Saccharomyces cerevisiae S288C: one gene and its partner. Changing the gene in region 2 together with the main gene of any one other region gives a genetic interaction. Each region holds a gene or a part of one and is shown on either strand. Other genes may lie near its edges.

Region 1 (3,811 bases), on a different chromosome or scaffold from region 2:
TGCCACGTTTTCCAAGAATCAAATGAAATGTGCGTTCAAAGGCTTACTGAATTCTTATCTCAGAATCCCGGATTTCGGTTACGTATTAGGCATATTAATTTAGGTCTCCTGCCTTCAAGCAAACAAGGGTGGCCATTGGCCATCAAATTAATTTACTTACAAGGAGCTTCTTTGGAAAAAGTGACAATGCATATACATGAAAATGTACACATAGATGCAATTGAGGATGGAAGTTTCGAAAAGAATGTCATTGTAGAACTCGACGCTATTAATGAGTCAATTGCATTAATTAGAAACCGTGGCATCAAACTTCAGTTTGTGAGATCTAAGCTTGAACGCATAAAAACTTTTGCACCAGATATTTGGCATGTATGCGTTGATGTCGACGTTATAGTAAGTACTTAAATACAAAATATAAATAATAATTAGTGTATGAAAAGTCAACAAGAATGGTCATTATTGTAAAAAAAAAATACTAACCTCCTATTCATTTCAACTTTTTAGGCAATCAAACCATGAGGAACGACTTCAATGGAATAACCATCAGGATCCTTCAAAAAGGCAATATTCTTCATTCTGCCTTGGTTAAATTTAGGAGACCATTGGATCTTATCGCCGTATTTCACTTCAATTTCTTTACAAAGGGCGCCAGCGTCATCACAACTTATGCAGATGTGACCATAACCCTGGGGCTCTGAGTTACCGTTATGATAGTGGAAGTTTGGATCATTCTCAGTTCCCCAATTATGAGTTAACTCCAACACACTTTCACATGAAAAAACGCTGTCGGTCTTTGGAACGCCATAACCAAGAAAGTATAACGTAAATTTTGCACTTTCGTGCTCACTAGTTCTTAATAATTTCATGCCCAACACATTCTGGTAGAATTCTAAAGACCGGGTTGGGTTTTTAATACGAATCATGGTATGATTGAACTTGTTACCTACTGAGCCCTTTGGGTATTCCTGACCCTCTCTAGAATATGTGATCAACTCAATCCAGTATCCATCAGGGCCTAAAGCAAACGCAATGTCCTTCTGTCTTCCTTCAGAGAGTCTCTTCTTGAATTTGACACCCTGAGATTCTAGCTCTTCGCAGGTTTTATTGATATCGGATACAGAAAAACAGATGTGCCCAAATCCACGATGAGGTTCCTCATTCCCGTTGTTGATCTTGTAGTCTGGGTTTTTTTCAGTACCCCAATTGTGAGTTAGTTCTAAGACACCGTGTGCGCTAAAAACATCAGGCTCTCCATTCTTATTTTTGGGTATGTCGTCTTTTGGAAAGCTTAAAAAGTACAAGCTAAATTTTGCTTCTTCAAAATCCTTTCTGCTTAATAGCTTCATACCGAAGTGTTCGGTGTAGAACTTAACGGTCCTTGCTGGATCCTTGACTCTTAAACATGTGTGATTAAGCAGAAGGGTTGGATCATTCGAGGCTTTCTCAATCTGAATTGGATAGCGTGTACTATCAGTGGACATTGTTAGTTTGTAGCTGGTGGCGTATCTGGTCTGAAGTGTCAAAAAAAAGGCATGGAAATGTTATTCCGATTTTTTTTCTCCCTATTTATAAACGTCACTAACTAGAAATACGGGATATCAACTACTACGAGAGAGGGACATTCTAGTATCAAAGAAACTTACTATGACGCAGTTTAGGATCCCTGTGGTGACTACGTATCCAGGTCTACTACTCCATCGTAAAGCCCCTTGTTTATTCAGTGTCCAGATCATATGCGGGATGTGTATTTTGTGCTGAGTGGAAAAATAAGATCATATGCTCAAGAATAAAGGGTTAAAGGGTATGGAAATTTCAGTTCTCCCTGGCTCAAGAACATTGTCAGTATTCCTATAACTGAAGCTGAGTGGTACTAATGCACCGAGATGCAAAGTCCGAACCACCCCCACCCCCCTCTTTACCTATTTTTTATATTTTGTGATAAAGGGATAACTCGTCTTGCCTTCACTGCGCTTCGATTCTACTTTAGCTAAACTAAGCGTTACTTTGTTTGAGAATCTCTCAGCCGTTAAATCAACGTACTTGTATACTAAACAGTATATTCACGTGATAACTTTGCCTTACACCTATGATATAGATAAATATATACATATATATGAGTGTGTGTGCATTGCGTCACTAAACTATGTTTAATATGACAGAAGGTTTTCGTTTAATTTTGCCGCTACCCGAAAATTTTGGCAGTTGCAATTTATAACTAAAGGAACCACCTTATTGTAAATTCCTCAACGGAAAAGCTATGGCTTAGCTAGGGTTGACAATGTCAGTTTACCATTTACCAACGCTGTTGAACCCGCTGGTTAATGCTATATTTAACTGTCCCGAACCAGAAAGATCCCCATTGAAAAAGCTTTTCGCTAATTTAAAAACCCGTAGGTTTATCCTCCTAGCACCTCCTTCAGAATACCTTTTGAATTACCACGATGTCAAGAGCAAACTGCCGTTACATGACCTCTGTTATAATGCAGAGTTTATTAACTCTTACATATTGTTAATGACTGAAAACTCTTACATAAATACGAATTCAAGGGACAGTCATTATGAAACGTTAGATGGTAAGACCGTTGTTATTCAATGGAAGAATAATGTGATCCATGCCTTAAATGGATTTCATATAAGGCGAAGACTAAAGATTCTAGAGACAAAAATATTACCCAATTTTAATGACTACTTTGAAGGGGCGGCTGATTTTATCATACTATTCATAGATCAACCTTTAAATTGCGAATTTGTACCTAACGACTACTTACAGTGTTTTCACAATTATGAGAAAATACCAAAAAATGCACATGCTATGCCAAATCTGTCGATAGATTCTTTTCAGCAAGAAAGATCGTCATTCGAGAATATATTGCACATTCATCCTGCTCGATTAACACAGCTTGGCCAATTGTTTTCGAGTTACAGAACGCTCGCTCCTGGTGATGATCCATCTAGAAGTATTTTTGAAAGCATCGTGCAACAAGCATTTGATGGAATGAAATCGGATTCACTTTTCAAGAACTTTTCTAATCTTTACGATCTTATACACGACTATTTTGAACTAAATCTTTACGATGATATATGGTCTAGGCTTACTACACATTTCAAAGGCCACGAAGTAGACACTGAAAAAATAAATATTTTTCAGTGAACCAGTTGTTGACAGATTTTTACTCAAAAGATTATGGGGAATTTAAATTACACGACATCACTCTTATTGAAAGGCGTCTCCATCTAGCGTCCAAACATCTTCAAAAGTTGGCTTTGACCCATTCATACGCTGAAAAATCTAAAATATTAGTTGAAACTCTACAGAAATTATCAGGTACTACCGAAATGGATTCACATCAACTAGAACTACCAGACGGATTGAATAACATGACGATGGATGCAGACACTTTAATTAGCCTTTTTGTGCTCGTTGTTTGCAGAAGTGAACAAAAGCACCTTAAAAGTCATCTTTACTATTTGCAAAATTTTTCGAATAACTCTTCTTCTACAAAATTCGGCATTCTAGGGTATGCTGTATCCACACTGGAAGCAGTGGTTTGTTATTTCGAAGACTTCAACAAAAATACAGGCAACGTGGCGAAAGCTAACACATTATGTGAAAAAACTAAGAATTTATTAGATAAGTTGTCATGTGAAAACCCCACAAATGAAGTAGAAGATCTGGCAACATACAAGGATATTTTGACCTACAGAAATGAGCAAGGACAATCCATTCTATCCATATGTATAACAAATCATAAAAACTACATCTTATTAGATATTCTTTCTGAATATGAAAACGACTTTCCAGTAGAAGACC
Region 2 (3,655 bases):
ATGGATACACTAGTTTGTGTTTCCACTACTTGTGCATACACATTTTCTGTGTTTTCTTTAGTTCACAATATGTTCCATCCCTCAAGTACTGGCAAACTCCCAAGGATCGTTTTCGACACATCAATCATGATCATTTCATATATTTCCATCGGGAAATATTTGGAAACTTTAGCTAAATCACAAACATCAACCGCACTTTCTAAATTAATTCAGCTCACTCCATCGGTGTGTTCAATTATATCTGACGTGGAGCGGAATGAAACCAAGGAAATTCCCATAGAATTATTGCAAGTGAACGATATAGTGGAGATTAAACCAGGGATGAAAATTCCTGCTGATGGCATCATAACAAGAGGTGAATCTGAAATTGACGAGTCGTTAATGACAGGCGAATCCATTTTGGTGCCCAAGAAAACTGGTTTTCCGGTTATTGCTGGTTCTGTTAATGGACCTGGACATTTCTACTTCAGAACTACTACCGTTGGGGAGGAAACTAAATTAGCAAATATTATCAAGGTAATGAAAGAAGCACAATTGAGTAAAGCTCCCATTCAGGGGTATGCAGATTATTTAGCCTCTATTTTTGTTCCGGGGATCCTAATTTTGGCAGTATTGACTTTCTTTATTTGGTGTTTTATTTTAAACATCTCGGCTAATCCTCCCGTCGCTTTCACCGCAAATACTAAGGCTGATAATTTTTTTATTTGCTTACAAACTGCTACTTCTGTTGTCATCGTCGCATGCCCATGTGCATTGGGACTTGCCACGCCGACTGCTATAATGGTGGGTACAGGGGTTGGAGCTCAGAATGGTGTCTTAATAAAGGGCGGAGAAGTATTGGAAAAATTCAATAGTATTACTACTTTTGTTTTTGATAAAACAGGTACCTTAACTACAGGTTTTATGGTTGTGAAAAAGTTCCTTAAAGATTCAAATTGGGTTGGAAACGTGGATGAAGACGAAGTTCTCGCCTGTATAAAAGCAACGGAATCCATTAGTGACCATCCAGTTTCGAAAGCAATTATACGTTATTGTGATGGTTTGAACTGTAATAAGGCTTTAAATGCCGTTGTTTTAGAAAGCGAATACGTGCTTGGAAAGGGAATAGTCTCAAAGTGTCAAGTTAATGGAAATACTTATGATATTTGTATTGGGAACGAGGCGCTGATTTTGGAGGATGCATTAAAAAAATCCGGATTTATTAACAGTAATGTCGACCAAGGAAACACTGTATCATACGTATCAGTAAACGGGCATGTGTTTGGCTTGTTCGAGATTAATGATGAAGTTAAACATGATTCTTACGCAACAGTTCAGTATCTACAAAGAAATGGATATGAAACGTATATGATTACTGGCGATAATAACTCAGCAGCAAAAAGAGTCGCTAGAGAAGTAGGTATAAGCTTCGAAAATGTTTACAGCGATGTGTCACCCACAGGCAAATGTGATCTCGTGAAAAAAATTCAAGATAAAGAAGGTAATAACAAGGTTGCTGTTGTTGGCGATGGCATTAACGACGCTCCCGCTTTAGCACTGAGTGATCTAGGTATTGCCATTTCAACAGGTACGGAGATTGCTATTGAAGCAGCTGATATTGTTATACTGTGCGGTAATGATCTGAATACTAATAGTTTGAGAGGACTGGCCAACGCCATCGATATTTCACTAAAAACGTTCAAAAGAATAAAGCTGAATTTGTTCTGGGCACTTTGCTATAATATATTCATGATTCCGATTGCTATGGGTGTGCTCATTCCTTGGGGCATAACTCTTCCTCCAATGCTCGCCGGTTTAGCGATGGCATTCAGCTCGGTCAGTGTCGTTCTAAGTTCATTGATGTTGAAGAAGTGGACTCCACCGGATATTGAATCACATGGGATTTCAGATTTCAAGTCCAAATTTTCGATTGGGAATTTTTGGTCAAGGCTTTTTTCTACGCGGGCTATTGCAGGTGAGCAAGACATAGAATCACAGGCCGGACTAATGTCAAACGAAGAAGTCTTGTAAATAACAGGTAAGTCTAATTTATTTAAAAAAATCCACGAGCATATAGATTTATAACAATAATAATAATTAATATTCATCAATTTTTTAGTAAATTCATATATTTTACTCCTACTCTATGTATTTTCAGTAAGTCTACTAGTCGTATTACCCGTCGGTTTCAAGGGATATTATGGAGGTAATAAGGATTTTTTTACCGATTTAAAAACCCATTATATCCCTCTTAGAAAAATTTTAGTATTCTTAGATAAGTTGCTAGATTTACCAATATCAAAGGGAAGACTGCAGGACAACACAAAAACACAAGAAAAGGAGGACAAAAAATGCAGGTTAAATCGATTAAAATGAGATGGGAGTCTGGTGGTGTTAATTACTGCTATCTATTGTCCGACAGTAAAAATAAAAAATCGTGGCTAATCGATCCAGCAGAGCCTCCTGAGGTTCTGCCAGAGTTGACTGAGGATGAGAAAATAAGTGTTGAAGCAATTGTTAATACACATCACCATTATGACCATGCAGATGGTAACGCTGATATCTTGAAGTATTTAAAAGAGAAAAATCCAACTTCAAAAGTTGAGGTTATAGGAGGGTCAAAGGACTGCCCAAAGGTTACGATAATTCCGGAGAATTTGAAAAAGTTACACCTAGGTGACTTAGAGATTACTTGTATTAGGACGCCCTGCCATACCAGAGACTCTATCTGTTATTATGTGAAAGATCCAACAACAGATGAGCGCTGCATTTTTACTGGCGATACACTATTTACCGCTGGTTGCGGTAGGTTTTTTGAGGGTACAGGCGAAGAAATGGATATAGCTCTGAACAATTCTATCTTAGAAACTGTGGGCAGGCAGAACTGGAGTAAAACGAGGGTTTATCCAGGACACGAATACACAAGTGATAATGTAAAGTTTGTTCGTAAGATTTACCCGCAAGTTGGTGAAAATAAAGCATTGGATGAGTTAGAACAATTCTGCTCCAAGCATGAAGTCACAGCAGGGCGGTTCACTTTGAAAGATGAGGTAGAATTTAATCCATTCATGAGATTAGAAGATCCAAAGGTCCAAAAAGCTGCCGGAGATACGAATAATTCATGGGACAGAGCTCAAATTATGGATAAATTGAGAGCTATGAAAAACCGTATGTAGGAAAGCCAACAGAGTATAATATACTTAAAAATATTCTTTTAGCATACCCTTTTATTTCAATGTATAAGAGTTTTTGGAACGCTACTTTATAACATTCAGGTCTGTTCACTAGAACTCTTGTAGTTGTGCCGTCATAAAAATTAGTCTTCGCGTGGCTGAAAGAAAAGTTCCAATAATACGGGCGGCTCGAGTAGAGTAATCATTGCCGTCACAAAACCATTTTCGGGTAGAAATAAAGCAATGGATATTTGAGCTCCAGAATTAAAATGGCTTTCCTTTTGCGGTTTACTATCTACTTGACTTTGGCTGGTATTTAAACACAAGTAAGAGAAGCATCAAACATGGGAAAGAAAAATAGAAAGGGAAAAGAAAATAATGCTGCTAAAACCTCTTTTCTAAAAGTAGAGAATATTAAAAACACTAATTCGGGATTGGAGCTTCCATCGCAAGACTATACAAACGTTGAAGAAAAAGAAAGTAGCCCGAAAACTGACTTTCCA

Evidence for each region.
Region 1: of GLO2 (region 2) and GLO1, changing one enhances a phenotype caused by changing the other (phenotypic enhancement), as found in Saccharomyces cerevisiae (one study listed by BioGRID).

What each region holds. Positions count from the first base shown.
Region 1 is NC_001145.3:261,205-265,015, forward strand, and holds GLO1 (lactoylglutathione lyase GLO1), read right to left. Parts: upstream 1,482-3,811; coding exon 501-1,481; downstream 1-500. Other genes in the region: TRM12 (tRNA(Phe) (4-demethylwyosine(37)-C(7)) aminocarboxypropyltransferase), read left to right, coding at 1-405; YML003W (uncharacterized protein), read left to right, coding at 2,279-3,151; VRL1 (Vrl1p), read left to right, coding at 3,337-3,811. UniProt on the Saccharomyces cerevisiae protein: Catalyzes the conversion of hemimercaptal, formed from methylglyoxal and glutathione, to S-lactoylglutathione. Can use gamma-glutamylcysteine as a substrate.
Region 2 is NC_001136.10:1,006,680-1,010,334, forward strand, and holds GLO2 (hydroxyacylglutathione hydrolase GLO2), read left to right. Parts: upstream 1-2,330; coding exon 2,331-3,155; downstream 3,156-3,655. Other genes in the region: Cu(2+)-transporting P-type ATPase CCC2, read left to right, coding at 1-2,010; DON1 (Don1p), read left to right, coding at 3,497-3,655. UniProt on the Saccharomyces cerevisiae protein: Thiolesterase that catalyzes the hydrolysis of S-D-lactoylglutathione to form glutathione and D-lactic acid.